Linked DNA regions of Lonchura striata. The protein of the gene in region 1 interacts with the protein of each later gene in a biochemical or structural test. Links are inferred from orthologs where the notes say so. Each region holds a gene or a part of one and is shown on either strand. Other genes may lie near its edges.

Region 1 (7,754 bases):
TGAAATAAAAACTATGGTAGAAGTATATGCTTTGAGTCAATTCACAGCAGTAAATGAGCTCTTGGGACAACCTAGTGTGATCTGTCTTGTTTAGCTTTGCCAAAAGTTCTTAGCTTAAAGGTGCCATCTAATGCTATGAAACCAAACCATTTCCCAAAGGCTTTCTATCACATTTTTCTCAAAAGTTAGACTGATGTTACAGTTAACAGGGAAATAAAGTTAACACTTCAGAAAAACCCAGTAACTTAAGTAGAGCACAATCAAACCTCAAGTGTTATTTCTTAAAATATTCTTCAAAATTATTTTGCAATTGGTTTTGACTGATCAAGTTGATGTCTCTAAAAACCTTTTGCTCCAAGTGTTCATTCGTCTTTCGACATTGTACCTCATGTCTTCTCTGAGTTATGGCTTTGAAAATGTCTGAGCACAAGAATTGTCAGATTTTTCATATGGCACTGGAAGAAGATCATGCACATGATCACAATGTGGTCATTCAGAGTTGTCTTTACTGGAGTTTTTCCCAATGTCTACTTCTGTCCCAGAGTACTTACAGCAGGGTGCCAGTACTTACTCCTCACTCTTAGAGAGGCTGTGACAGGTCTGTTTGTCTGTGGGACCAGCTGAGCATCTGAAGTTACTCAGCAGTAACTGTTCTTTGCTGAGGCTGCTAATGTGGCATGAACAGAAGTTTAGGAGCAGCTGATCCAGAGAACTGCACAGAGGAAGGGATGCTAAGAGTGGAAAAAGTGGTGTGAGCCATAACCTATTCAGAAATATTCTGCAACATTGAAAGCATCTGATGTATAGCATCATGGAGACATTCATGTCCACTAGCGATAAAAAGCTTAAAATCTGTCAGGCCTAACTACACTTTGTAGTTAATAAAACCATAATCAAAGAAAAAATTACAATTAAATTTGTATTTGCAATGCACGAAGATTCTAAGAGAGTCTTGAATTGCCTTTTATTTTGAAAGATTTCTTACCATTGGAAAAATTTGGAATCATGGAAATGCTTTAGGTTGGAAGGGATTCCACACCCCTGGGCAGGAACAACTTTCACTGTCCCAGGCTGCTCCAAGCCCTGTCCAGCCTGGCCTTGGGCACTGCCAGGGACCCAGGGTGGGCACCCTGTGCCAGGGCCTGCCCACCCTGCCAGGGAACAATTCCTGCCCAATCTCCCATCCAGCCCTGCCCTCTGGCACTGGGAGCCATTCCCTGTGTCCTGTCCCTCCAGGCCTTGTCCCCAGTCCCTCTCCATCTCTCCTGGAGCCCCTTCAGGCCCTGCCAGGGGCTCTGAGCTCTCCCTGGAGCTTCTCCTCTCCAGGGGAGCACCCCCAGCTCTCCCAGCCTGGCTCCATGGCAGAGGGGCTCCAGCCCTTGCAGCATCTCCGTGGCTCCTCTGGCCTGGCTCCAGCAGCTCCACGTCCTCCTGCTGCTGTTCCCCAGGCTGGGGCAGCTCTGCAGGTGGGGTCTCACCTGAGCGGGGCAGAGGGGCAGAATCCCCCCTCCCCTGCTGCCCACGCTGGGCTCAGCCCAGCCCAGGGGGGCTCTGGGGTCAGTGCCCATGGCCGGGGCAGGCTGAGCCTCTCACCCACCAGCACCCCAACCCTCCCCAGGGCTGCTCCTCATCCATTCTCTGGGTTTGTGCCTGGGGTTGCCCTGACCCTGGTGCAGGAGTTGTGCTTGGCCTTGGGTGAACTTTGTGAGATGGGTTCGAACCCACCTCTCCAGCCCATCTGTGCCAGGTGTGCCTTTTGAGCATCACCTGCTGCACACTGGGGAGGCTGAGTGCCAGCCAGGTGTGCTCAAGCAGAAGCTTTTACTTAACAAAGCAAAGCTTTTAGCAAAGGCATTGCTTCAATGTTGGGTTACAGGTGTAAATGTAATAAATTTAATCCACCACAGCCAGCTGCTCTAATAATTGCTCTAATGAGAAGGAATAGAAAAAATTGGGGAAGATTTCATAGAAACAAACGGCTGTCAATAGTATGAAGGATTTTTAACTTAAATGCTATTAGGGATGTCTTCCTAAACAGCTAAGAATTGAATTACTAAGTCAGTTTTCTTCATTCACAAACTACTAAAAATAGAGAAAAGAAGCAGCAAACTTGTGAAAAGAAGGTGACAAAACTGAAGCAGACTACAACTGTCTTTGAAAGTGTACCTTGAGGTCTGCTGAGTGTACACCCTGTTTGACATGACTGAGTAGGAGAGGTTGACACTTTCCTTGTGGGACAAATTGCTGTGTGAGGCTTTTGATTTCAGATATATTCATCACGATTTTTAACTTTTTTACAACATTATTTTTCAACAATGCTTGATCAAGCTGTTGAATTTATGCCATGCTGGTTTATTTTGTGCATAATCGCCTTACTCAGATTTTTCAAATACACATTTATGGGCTTTCATGTAGGGTTTTGTATTAGTCAGGCTTTTTTTTTGTTTGTTTTTCTGTGTGCCAATACTGTTTTCAATGCTGGGACAGATGATGACACATTTAGATTATTTGCATTTTGTGAATTCCTGAAAATGTTACTTATGAAATCATACATTAAGATTCAAAATCTAAATTAAATCTTCATTTCCAGTGAGATCAGGTTTTGTTCTTCCCATTCTTAGTATAAGCAGGGCCAGATAAAAAAAAAAAAAAAACAAATATAAGTATTATTTATGCATGGAAAATGCCCATGATAACACAGGCAGTGATTGATTAGCACCAGGAAAGGGAGATATTTTTCAAGAGAGCATACCTGAGTGTACAACGGACTCAAAAAAATCTGCTATAAGAAATGCTTTGTTAAATGACTGCTACTTCCCATAACCTTTAAAATTAAGACATTTCCATCGTGTTGACAAACCCTGTCAATGTATGTGAATGAATTGTGGTCTGGTTCAATTTCTCTGTGGGGTTTTCAGCTGGCTCTTTCTAGAGCCCTTTGCAGATTCAATGGATGTTGCATTTCCTTCCTGTCTTGAATTGCAGTGTAAGGTGGCTGGGAGCTTTTAAAGTCACTGTTACTCAATAGGGTGGCAACATTATATTAAGGAATAAGTATGTATACCTTGAGAAAATACATCCTGGTGAGAAATTCCTGCTGTCACTGTCATGGTTAGTTATCCTGAAGGATGTGCTTTGTGTCTCAGATTTGAAATGGTGAAAGTTAAAATATCCAACTTCCTTGTAAGTTCTGAGTCCAGCTGCAATGGGTTTGTGTTTAGTATTCAGACAGTAGTGCCAGAATCCTACACTCAGATAAAAGATGTGACAGGAGGTGGGGAAAAAACTTCTCCTCTTGCACTTGGCCATCAAACTGCAGCAGGTGAATGATAAGAAAATGCCAGGAAAGAACAGAAATATCCATGGAGACCCCAAAGACTCCATCTCAGTGACAGAAGTGATATATTCAGCTCTGGGTGTGCATTTGAGGTAGAATTCTTGTATGATTACTGCAGTTAAGAAGATTACCAGGCAGCTGTAAAATCCTGCATGCACTCAGTTGTCTGAGAACATTAACATTTTTAGAAAAGAGCTCTGAAATCAGCTCTTCATTCTCCTGACATTCATCCCAAGGAAGTTCTGCCACCAAGGTCAAGTCCAAGAGTTGATTTGTTGGGGGTGTGTGCATTTTGGTGATAAAAGAGAAAATAAAATTTCTTACTTGGCTATTTGTGTAATTTCCCACAAAGATGGATACATCCCTGTAGTTTGATGACCTGTGACAAAGCAGTCTAGTAATTAATTTCAAAATGCTTCAAACCCCAAGGCAGAGTCCCAAGAATGGAAAAATGTCCAGAGAAGTAGCAAGGTTTCGTTAAAGGGAAAGCATGTTTGTCTGCTTTTTAACTTCTAACGTGTCACTTTAATCCACTCCAGAGACAATGGGACTTTTTGTAAACAAGGGTTTAAAAGAAGGATTCAGGGAGACCTCAGAGCCCCTTCCAGTGCCTAAAGGGGCTCCAGGAGAGCTGGAGAGGAAGCTTAGGCAAGGGCATGGAGGGACAGGACACAGGGAATGGCTCCCAGTGCCAGAGGGCAGGGCTGGATGGGAGATTGGGCAGGAATTGTTCCCTGGCAGGGTGGGCAGGCCCTGGCACAGGGTGCCCAGAGCAGCTGTGGCTGCCCCTGGATCCCTGGCAGTGCCCAAGGCCAGGCTGGACAGGGCTGGGAGCAGCCTGGGACAGTGGGAGGTGTCCCTGCCCATGGGTGTGGAATAAGATGAGGTTTAAGATCCCTTCCAACCCAAACCTTTCTGGGATTCTGTGGTTCTGTGGATTTTTCAGAACTGTATTTCCAGCCCCAGGCACTCCCACTTGACTTCTACAACGCTCATGTTGCTTTTCGGAACACTCAGAGTTGTTATTTATAGAAAAGCTTTTAAGGGAAGTCTCAGATGCTGTAACTGTGGGCTCATTCCAGAGAATCTAAAGCTCAGTTGATCAGCTTCTCACATTTCCTTACTTCAGGTAAAGCAAGATTTCAGAATTATTTAAATAGTTTTTAAGCATGTTTTTAATTCTTTGCCTGCTGATGTTTGCTGTTAAAAACCTGACTGCAATATATTCATTTTTGTGATAGGTTTCCTTTCTCATCTCTAGCATTGACAGATGAACCTGGACTGCAAGATCCCTGTTAGGAAGGTAAGTTGGATGCTTTAGAGACTGTAAGGTGCCAGGAAGTTTTCTTTACTGTAGAAGAAGAAATTCTTCTCTGTGAGGGTGGGCAGGCCCTGGCATAGGCTGCCCAGAGCAGCTGTGGCTGCCTCTGGATCCCTGGCAGTGTCCAAAGCCAGGCTGGACAGGGCTTGGAGACAGTGGAAGGTGTCCCTGGCATGGCAGGGGTGAAATGGGACGGGTTTTAAGGTCCTTCCCAACCCAAACTGTTCTGGGATTCAGTGACTCTGTAATGAGATGATGCATTTCATTGATGCAGGTAGAGAAGTGCAGTTAATACCAGTTTGCTGAATGTCCCTGACAGTGGGATACTATGGATTCTCACTGCAACTGAGAGATGTGGACTACATTTAATTTATTCTTATTCTTCTATCATTAGTAACACTAGAAATTGTGTTGCTCAGATTTAAGTGAAGGGATTCATCAAAGTGAGAGGAGCATAGAACCACAGAAAATCCAGAGCTGGAAGGGACCCACAGGTCCATCCATGCAGCCCCTGTCCCTGCCCAGACCCCCCAACAGCCCCACCCTGAGCAGCCCTGAGAGCGCTGTCCAAACGCTCCTGCAGCTCTGGCAGCCTCGGGGCCGGGACCATTCCCTGGGGAGCCTGGGCAGTGCCAGCACCCTCGGGGGGAAGAACCTTTCCCTGAGCTCCATGCCAAGGCCTGACAGGAGGGTCCTGGTTAATTTGGCTCTCCACACTGACAGTGAGAGGTTGGGCTGTCCCACCAAAGGAGAGTGCTCCTGTCTATAAATGAAATGCTACACGTGCTCAGTGTTTCTATGTGCCACTGACTCCTCTGTCCCATTTTTTATTGCCTATGCGAAAAACCACAGAATTTATTGCAGCACATAAAATTGTACAGTGCATGACTCAAGCCCTCTCCCATCCTGTTTGCTCAGTTCTTCTTGGTTTGATATGCACTAGGAAAGGTCATTTAAATGTAATTACTTTTTTTCATAAACAGTTGCAATTCTCTTGACTGTGCAATGAGAGCATTGGCTTTCTTGATCAATATCAAATAAGCAAATATTAAAAATTGCTCATGTTAAATATGATGAAAGGGAATCTAGTTTGAGATTAAATTAAAATTGCAGTAGCCGGTCTTGCCTGAAACCTCTGTGACTCAGGGCAGAAATTTGATGAAGAAGGCTTCAGCTTGGACACCAGATTCATGGTTTCGTATTTTCAAAGGCACTGGCTACTGTAGCTTTAGGTGAGGTTTTGCAATATAAGCTTAATTTCTGTGTATGGTGTAGTGGTGGTGATGAACTTCTAAATAACTTAAAATTCCATCTTCCATAGTGTGTGGGAAGAACTGCAGATTTCTCTGTATTTCCTCCATATAGTGGCCTTCATTTCAGTTGGGTTGTTACCATTTTATCTCCTTTTTCCCCTGGCAAAAAAATGATGACTTTGAGGGAAAAAAAACCCATAATCATAGCACTTGAAATCCTGAAAGAATACATTTGATGCACACAGTGAAAAGAGAGACAGGTAAAAAAGCAGAGGGTGAAGGAGGTGGAAAAAATTACAAAAAAGAAATGCTGCATAGTAATCATATTGCATGTATGAAATAATGCTCATATTATTGCAATTTTTGCCTGTAATAAGTCCTGGGTTCGTCTGATAGCTTGTGTTTTAAATAGACAATTGCAGGTAGTTTTGTTGCACTATAATTCTCCAAAATTGTGTAATCCCTGATGGGACAGTGGAGCCAGGTGGGGTCAGTCTCTTTGCCAGGTAACAAATGACAGAACAAGAGGAAACAGCCTCAAATTGCAGCAGGAGAGGTCTGGGTTGGATATAGAGGAAAACTTCATGGAAATGGTGGTCAGGCACTGGCACAGGTGCCCAAGGCAGTGATGGAGTCATCATGCCTGAAGTGTTGAAATGTGTGGCTGTGGCACTTGGGGACATGGTTTAGTGGTGAACATGGAGGTGGTGCTGGGCTGACAGTTGGACTTGATGATCCTGGAGGTCTTTTCCCACCTTAATGATTCTGTGATTCCATAACCATTACAGAAATTGCACCGTTGTGTAAGAGTTGAGTTGCCTGTAGCAACAGTTCCTTTCCTTCTGTTATGTTTCCTTCCTCCCACTCCTTGCTCTAGAAGAAACTCTTCCCACAGTAAAACATGTAGAACGATATAATAAAGAGAAATAAATCCCACACACACTCTGGTATCATGTGTATCCTTTAAACATTTTGTCACTTTAGATTTCTGGCCTCTGGCCTGAGGTGCCTGAAGCTGCCAGGTTTTGTTGTATGGGTTTGGGGTTATCCCCCACCCTTTGGAGCAGGGATCCTGGGGGCTGTTTGTACAGCGAGGTGCAGACATGGAGACACTTCCTTCTCAGTGGTTTGGAACAAAGCTGACTGAGCTGTAACACAGCTTTGGTGCTGTCACAGTGGTACCTGGAAAAAGAGTGCAATGCAGAGAACCAGATCTGGGCACTTGGGTTGTTGGACATGACACCAGCAGACAGCAAGAGAATTGCCACAGGCTTCAGCTTCATGTATTTGTTGAAGGCTGGGAGAGCTGGGGGTGCTCCCCTGGAGAGGAGAAGCTCCAGGGAGAGCTCAGAGCCCCTGGCAGGGCCTGAAGGGGCTCCAGGAGAGCTGGAGAGGGACTGGGGACAAGGCCTGGAGGGACAGGACACAGGGAATGGCTCCCACTGCCAGAGGGATTCAATGGGATACTGGGCAGGAATTGTTCCCTGGCAGGGTGGGCAGGCCCTGGCACAGGGTGCCCAGAGCAGCTGTGGCTGCTCCATCCCTGGAAGTGTTCCAGGCCAGGTTGTGCAGGGCTGGGAGCAGCCTGGGACGGTGGAAGGTGTCCCTGCCCTTGGCAGGGGTTTAGAAAGGGATGTTAGTCAAGGTCACTTCCAACACCAATCATTCTGGAATTCTGTGAGTCTATATTTCTGTGTGGAAATATAAATCTTTGATGTGATAAAGCATGTTTTAACTCAGTGACATTCCCTTTAAATGCTGGAGATTGGATGTCAAAGACATGTCTGCTTTTATGATTTATTGCCATTTTCTGGTTCCCTTTTTGAAGGTGTGCAATGCAGGG
Region 2 (7,661 bases), on another chromosome or scaffold:
ATGTCTCCTTCCCCTTTTGAGGCACCCAGCCAGTGGGAGCAAAAGCCCAGCCAAGCTTCTTCCCAGCAGCTCACGACATGCTTGTGCACCAGGAGTGAGATGCTGGGGGTCTTCAAATCACAAAAACATGGAACACCACAATTTCTCACTGTTTCCCTGCTTCTCCCCTACTGCCTGATGACACCTTTTTTCTTCGACTTGGATTTCAAGCCACCTGGAATTGGAACACGATCCTCTTGCCCCCAAGATCATGGGGCATTTAGGTGCTCTGACCCTGTAATCTGTTCTATCCTACACTCCAGAATTAGCCAAGGGTTTTAGAGCCCTGGAAAGCATCACCTGACAGTTCCCATGTAGGTGGGAGCACCCTCGCAGTGCAGACCCAGAGCACTTCCAGCCTTGAGCAGAGGCAGGAGCACGATCTAGCAGAGCCTGCCTCCTTCCCGTTATTCAGTTTAATTTGGGAGCAAAATAATCCCAGCTCTTGCTGCAGTGCAAGTTTTCCATGTTGGTGACACATTTTTTTCTATATTCCACCTTTTGAAGTATTTGATATTGAACAGATTGCAAGAGGCCGGGGTTTAATTCAGGAGAGGCTGCTTGGATGCTTCCCGGTAAAAATAGATTTTTTTTTCCTCTGAAGGAGCTGGGTGAGGAGCTCCGGGATGGCTGTGTGCTCCAGAAACGACGTGCAGCTGGTCACCGGCATCCGAAGCCCCACAGTCACTCACTGAAGGAGCAAGCCAATGGGCAAGGGAACCCCAAAATAATCCTGCTGGAATTTCACCTGCAGCAGGGCTGCCAGGGGCGGAAACTAACAGGTGCTGCCTATAAAAGGCCTGGAATCTGCTGTTCAGGGAAGGCAAGGAAAGCCCTGGGGAGCTGCTGAGCCCTGAGCAGACCCCAGGGCGCCCAGGGAGGGCTGTAGTAAAGGCTGTGTTTTACATCCCTGACATCAGAGGAAGCCTCGGCTCACACGCAGCCACCATTTCCAAGCTCCCCTCCTCCAGCATCAGCAAAAATTCATCCCAAGAGCCAGAGCCCCAGCAGGAAACTGAATTCCCCTTTGGAAGAGGCTCTGTGAAGCACGGCTGAAACCCTCTGTGGGGACAGACCAGCATGGAAGGGCTCCGCAGGGCACAGTTTCTCAACGGGGCTTTGCTGTTTGGGTTCCCACATCTCTGCTGCCTTTGCCCCACAGGAAGGTCTCCTCCAGGACCTTTCCTTTTCCCCTTCACTTCTGCAGAAGCTGTCGGAACAGCCGGCAGTGGGAGCCTGGGCCAACTCTGCTGGAGTTCAGCTTAGTTTGAGCCACGGCCCAGGAGGGACTCGCCATATGGAAAAAAAAGACGTGCACGTTTGCACCTAAAATCAGGGATGCAAACCACTTCAAAACCCCAGGGTGGTTTTTTCCCATGGCTGGCTCAAAGAAATGGGGTTGTTACTCTAAGACCACATTTAATTAAGTTCGGGAGGCTTGCTGGAGCTATTCTTTCACGCAGGAAATCGCAGCGGCTCACTGGGAAGCCGCACTCGCCGCCAAAGTCTTCTTGGCTCTCAGCAGCCAGAGTTTTCAGTTTGGGGCCAACACTTCTCAGTTGTGATCAGGCAACTCAAAGCAAGGAGCGTTGTGTTGAAAGCATTTGCTTTCTACCCAAGTTTTCATCCAACTCTTTGCCCAAGCAAAGCTTTGATGGTAACTATTTCAATGGGCTTGGGAGAATGCGGGTTTCCCTCGTGGAACCTGGGCTGGGCTGTTCGTAGTGGGATCTGGCTGGAAGGGATGGGGTTGGAACTGAGCAAAAAGCTCAGCAGCGAGATGCTCCTGAAGATGCATCACTATTGCTGCAGGTTTGCCTCAAAAAACCCGTTCCTCCCTTGGCAGGGAGAGCGATTCCTTCGAAATCACCCAAAACGAAACACCCTAGAAAGGAAACATCCTTGAAAGCAGCAGTCACCACAGGGCTTTGTTCCTGGTGGGATGAGAGACCTCGCGCTGCCGGCAAGGGAAACAGCCAAGAGTGGCACACTTTGCTCCTTTGCTGCATGCCCCAGCTTTTATAAGGAACTGGTGGAGCCATGAGCCCGTGGGAGGTCTGGGGCACCCTGAGCCTCAGGTGACACAGGATGACATGGGACAGAGTGCCCAGAGGTGTTGCAATTCCACCACTTCAGTGCCCAACAGTCAAGCAGAGAAAGAGCCCACAGCGGGGTGAAGCAGGAGGGCAGCAAGAAAAACAAGTTCCTGCCATAGAAGACAAGACAGCCCTCACCAGAGCCTCTCCATGCCTTCTCCACTACCATCTCCAAGTGGGAATTCGGGCTGTTTGCGGAGTTTTGCCTCACCCATAGCTGGCAGGGGGTGCTCGCAAATGGGTGGGAACAACATGCCTCTTCATGCCCCTGCCTCGCTGGGAAAGGGCATGTCTGCCTGCCTTGAAGTTTGGGTTGAGAAGCGCCGGGCACGGGCCCCGCGGGAGCCCCTGGGCCACCGCCGCTCTCGAGGTCACCGCAGGAAAGGTCAAAGCGACCGAGCGCGGAGAGGCGGCGTCATGTCGGTACCGGAGGTGTGCGGACAGGATCGGGGGAAAACGGGGGACAGGGCAGGGAGACAAGGGGGGGACAGGGCAGAGGAGAGGAGCAGAACGGGAAAAGGGGGAAAACAAGGCAGAGCAGGGAGAGGAGCTGTGTGGGAGGGAAAGGTGGAAAACAGGACAGAGGAGGCAGGAGCAGGATGGAAAGAAGGGGGAAAACAGGGCAGAGAAGACGAGCAGCCTGAGAAAGGGGAGGACAGGGCAGAGCAGGGAAGCAGGGCGGGAGGGAAAGGGGGGAACAGGGCAGGGAAAGGAGCAGGAATGCAGGCAGAAGCCATGGCTTACCGGGCAGGGCGAGCAGCAGCAGGCAGGGCAATGCCCAGGCGGTGCGGCCGGGATCCCGGGGATGCGGCTCCATCGGTGCGGGGAGCGGAGCCCGCGGCTTCACAGCGCGGCCCCGCGCCCGGCTCGGCGGCTGGGTTTGATAAATAAGACAAATTAAAAAAAAAAAAAAAAAAAAAAAAAAAAAAAAAAAAAAAAAAGGCAAAAAGCGCAGAACTGCAGCTGGCGAAGGAAATCGCTGTTCTCAGCCCCAAAATGAGGAAGGAGGCCGGGCTCCCCCCTTTCTCCCCCCGCGGCGGGCGGGCAGCGCACACGCACGCAGCGGCACGGACCCGCGGCCCCGCCGCCGCCCGTGGGCACCGGAGCGGGCTCGGGGCCGTGACGGGGCCGCCGCGGCGGGGCCCCGGGCGGGCGCGTGCCCCGGTGCCGCGCGGAGCCGCCTCCCCCCGGCCGCCGCGCCGCCTCCGTTGCCGTGGCACCGGGGAGGGACGGAGCCGGCCCCAGCTTCGAGACCCCCTCCGGCTCCCAGCAGCCCCGGTGCAGCGCCGCTTCCCCCCGCGGCGGGGGCGAAGCCAGCCCCGCCCGCCCCGGGGCAGAGTCCTCCGGTCAAGCCGGTGTGCGGCTGCCTTAAGGTGGGCTGGGAGGGGACCCCCGGGACCGGCCGCCAGCAGCCCCGGGATGCCCGGTGGGCCCGGGGGGAGGGAGGCGGCTCCACGGCCCCAGGGATGGGGGCCGGGGATCCCCCGCTCTCCACGCGCTGCCGGGGTAGCCGCCGCTTGGGCACGGCCGCGATACACAGCGCCGCATCCCCGAGCTGGGATCGGGGTGCAGGAGCACACAGCCTTCGGTCCCGAACACCCAGGGGCCACCTGGGGCTGAGCCAGGACAGCTCAGGCACAAACAGCACACGGCTTTGGGGCTCCCAAGTGCCCAGGGACCTCCCAAGGGACCACGCAGGGCCGAGCTGTGAGCCCGTGGCAGAGGCACGGGTGGTATTTTGCAGGTCAGCTTGGCCGACGGGGCTCAGGGCCAGGAGGGGACGTTGGTGCAGCACAGACAGGCAGAGGATGGATGGGGAGGGAGAGGGAATTCCTGCACGGCGCTCTGGGACGGTGGGGACATGCCCGTGATGTCCCCTCAGCGGGGAGAAGCGAGAGCCTGAGGACAAGGCAGCTCTGATGGTAGGCAGGGCTGAGGAAGGGGGTGTCAGCATCCATGCGATTCATGTCCCCGCACCGCTCTGCTTGTCCCCGCCACAAAGTCCTTCCCAGGGGATTCACAAGGACACATTCTCCACTGCCTGCACCTGTCACAGCTTCTCACACCACCCAGGTGTGGGGACTTCAGCCACGCCAGGTGCAATGCTGGCAGCTCCCTAGCACCACCCCACTGTCCCCTCTGCCCTCCCAGGGATGGGGTAGGCACTGCAGAGCAGGAGCTCCCAGCCCACCCAGCATCACCTGCAGCATCCCTGGCAGCACAGATCGCACCAAGCACTCCCCCACACCGGGCTGGGTCCCTGAGGACAGCGCTGGGTGCCATACTGGAGGACCCACTGCCAGCTCCCCCCTCCTCCCCTCCCCAGGCAGCCGCCAGGGCTGTCGGTTTTATTTAGAGCCTCGCACAAACACAGCCGAGATATCTGAAGTGACTTGGCACCGTCAATCTGCGCACGGCATCCGCCTGCGCATCCCCGGCCCCGCCAGCCTCCCCCTCAGCCCCAGCTACGCCCATGGGGCACATCCTGCCTTAATTTAGCACTGCTGGAACCAGGAACAGCTCCCCAGGCTTCTGCACTCACCTCCCTCTGCAATCCCCTGGCAGCTGGAGGCTGCACTCGAGGGTTGTGGCCAGTACTGCTCCCACTGGGAAAACTTTTGTGGCCAGCAGCACTGGCCTTGGAAAGCCCAATACAGCCATCATTTCCCTTCACAGAGCTGGCCAGAGCGGCCAACAAGGAGCAGGGGTCCAGAGGAGCCCTTGGATTTGGCCTTTTGCAAATAGCAATAATTTTTTTTGCATAGGGATGGGGACACATCACTACAAGAGCCCACAGGCACCTCACAAGAGGAAGCAAAGGTGTTGAGCTCTGGTCTCTGATGACCAGTGATAAGACTTGAGGGAACTGCATGAAGCTCTGTCAGAGAACTTTGAGGTTGGTATTAGAAAAAGGTTCTTCTACCAGAGATGTTTGGGTACTGGAACAGGCTCCCCAGGGCACTGGTCACAGCCCCAAGCCTGCCAGAGCTCAAAAAACATTTGGACAATGCTCTTGGACACAAGGTGGGATTCTTGGAGTGTCCTGTGCCAGGACACCCCATTGGACTCGATGATCTTTATGGGTCACTTTCAGCTCTGGATATTCCATGGGATTAGGAGTGGTTTGTGGAACCCTGCAGCTTCACCCCTGTGGGCAGTGCATCCTACCCAGCCCTAGTCCAGAAGCAGGGACCCTCAGGGCAAGTGGGTGCCCAGCATGAGGGCAAATACCAGGGACACACTGCAGCCATTCACAACCACCTTTCCTGGTTATTTTTACACGGAAGCACAGATCCTGGAGGCCTGGTTGGCTTCAGCCTGTCTGGGATGTTCTGCTCAGCGTGGAAGGTTCAGACAACCTGTTCTGAGGCGATTACAGAGCAGAGCCAGCCCGCAACACAAGCAGCAGCCACCGCAGAGTGCTCGGGAAGGGAACTCGGAGCTTAAAAAAGCTCTGCAGGAGAAGGTACCGCGCAGAGCAGATGGTGCGGCGCGAGCTCCCCGGGAAGAGCTGCTATTGCTCCCCATTAGGAAGCATATGGGCAGGCTCAGCTGCCTCCCCTCCTACCCATGGCCCTTCCACTCCGCATCACGGGCCCTGCTCCAAGGCTGGGAGGATTCACCCTGGCAGGGCAGCCCTTGCCCTGCACTGGGCAGGGAGCCAGGGTGCGTTTGGCTCTTTGTACGCCTGAGACAGAGGGACTCCCAAAATTTTGGGAGTGCAACTCTGCCATCAGCATCATCATCCTTCTGTACAGAACACCCACAGTGAGCAGGAGGCTGCAGCACTGCTTGGCAGGGCAGGCAGCACTGCCAGGCTCTCTGTGCTGCCAGCGGGCACCCAGGCTGCTCTTGCTCTGCAGCATCTCCATGCTTCAGCTCAAAACCCCTGCTCTGGCAGGCAGGATTCCAGAGTCCCCAGTGGATTCCAGAGCTCTGCTTTCCCTGGCCCCAGGAGCTGGGCAGCAGCCAGCATGGGGACAGGGTAGCATTTCAGAGGAGCTTTTCAAGAGTAAGTTGATTTTCACAGCTTTGAGGCACAGTGAGGAACTCGCTTCACGCTGCTAGCATCTGTTTGGGGTAGGTACGGGCTCTGTGTGGCAGGGCTGGGCCAGGCTCAGCCACTCCCAGAGGTTTGAGTGCTGGGCAGGCAGGGATCTGCTCCCCTTCCCTATTCCCAGCCAGAACCACAGACTCGATGTCCTTTTTGCATTCCCTTGCTCCCAGCTGGCAGCTCTGCAGGATCTGCTCTCTCCCCAGGAGGAGGTGGGCACCCATCCACACACAGGGACCCTCAGCCAGGGCAAGAGCACCTCATCTCTTGTCAGAGCCTGGCAGCATCCAAAAGGAACAATCACAGCCTTGCCAGAGTGATCCCAGTGGAAAGTCCTGCAGCACTGGTTTTGCCCAGACTGTTCTTTCATGCCTTAATCAGCTGCATGTCTGATCTGCTCCCAGCCCCCGGGAACAGCGGGGCTCCCTCGGCTGGAGGGGATTCACAGGGGACGGAGGTGGGAGAGGTTCCAGTCCCTGCCCTGCAGGGCCAAACCTGGGCCTGTTAATGAATCACATTTCACTGATGGAGGTGACTGCAGTCTTTCTCTGCCGGGGACTTTGTCCCTCATGATCCCTGCTCCAGCAATGGGACGGTGCAGTGGGAGAAGTACCAACAGCCTGAGTGGCCACATCACACCTGGACACAGCAGCTGGCCCAAAATGCTCAGTCCACCCTTCACAACCCAAACCAGCTCAGGGATACAGGAAAAAAACCACTAATACTCTGGACGCCAGCCTGGAAAATACCCCAGATTTGGCATCCAGAGGTGCTGTTTTGGGGCTGTGGGCACAGAGCCATGCCCAAGCACCAGCGAGCAGCCAGCACTTATGGGAGCCCTCCACAATAATGACTCAATGATCTTAGAGGTCTTTTCCAACCTCAAAGATTCCTCGATAATCCAAAAAACACAGTGTCACGGAACTCACCACCCTGGGGAAACTCAGAGCCACCCCAGCCCAGTCCCAGCCACCAACTCCTCCCAGCCCAGCCCCCCAAAAGGTGCTACTTTCACACCTCACCACAAGAAAACACCCTGCAGGGCCATATCAGAGCACAGGCCCACACAAGGGCTGTTCTGGCACAAGCCAGTGCAGCCTCCAGACAGACAGAGAGCAGCATGTTCCCCTATCCATCCTCCAGCTTCAAAAAACAAATTCCAAGACCCCTCCAGCCTAAAATCCACATGGACACATCCTACAGCCTCCCCTCACCCCCACCTCTCAGGCTTCAGTCAGCACCCAAAGAGGGCTTTCAGCTGGGAGAGAAACACAAATGTCTCTTGAAGCAGGGAGCACCAATTACACTGCTGATATTTAGGGCTTCCAGCACAACAAATGGAGCTGCAGCTTCATTAGGTACTTTGCCAATTTAATCCGAGACATGCAGTACAGGGGAAGCTTAAATTAGTTTATCTCATGTTAACTTAGAGCAAGCAATATGTTAATGTGAGCATGGTTTTCATGGACTGT

The links.
Region 2: the proteins of MATK (region 1) and tyrosine-protein phosphatase non-receptor type substrate 1 form a complex in vitro, tested with the Homo sapiens proteins (3 studies listed by BioGRID, with this or other methods). The link is inferred for Lonchura striata from reciprocal best matches to the Homo sapiens genes MATK and SIRPA.

What each region holds. Positions count from the first base shown.
Region 1 is NC_134630.1:1,927,054-1,934,807, forward strand, and holds the start of MATK (megakaryocyte-associated tyrosine-protein kinase), read left to right. Parts: upstream 1-4,314; 5' UTR 4,315-4,466; intron 4,467-4,578; 5' UTR 4,579-4,607; coding exon 4,608-4,640; intron 4,641-7,754.
Region 2 is NC_134619.1:7,298,637-7,306,297, forward strand, and holds the start of tyrosine-protein phosphatase non-receptor type substrate 1, read right to left. Parts: upstream 3,066-7,661; 5' UTR 2,953-3,065; coding exon 2,880-2,952; intron 1-2,879. UniProt on the Homo sapiens protein: Immunoglobulin-like cell surface receptor for CD47. Acts as docking protein and induces translocation of PTPN6, PTPN11 and other binding partners from the cytosol to the plasma membrane.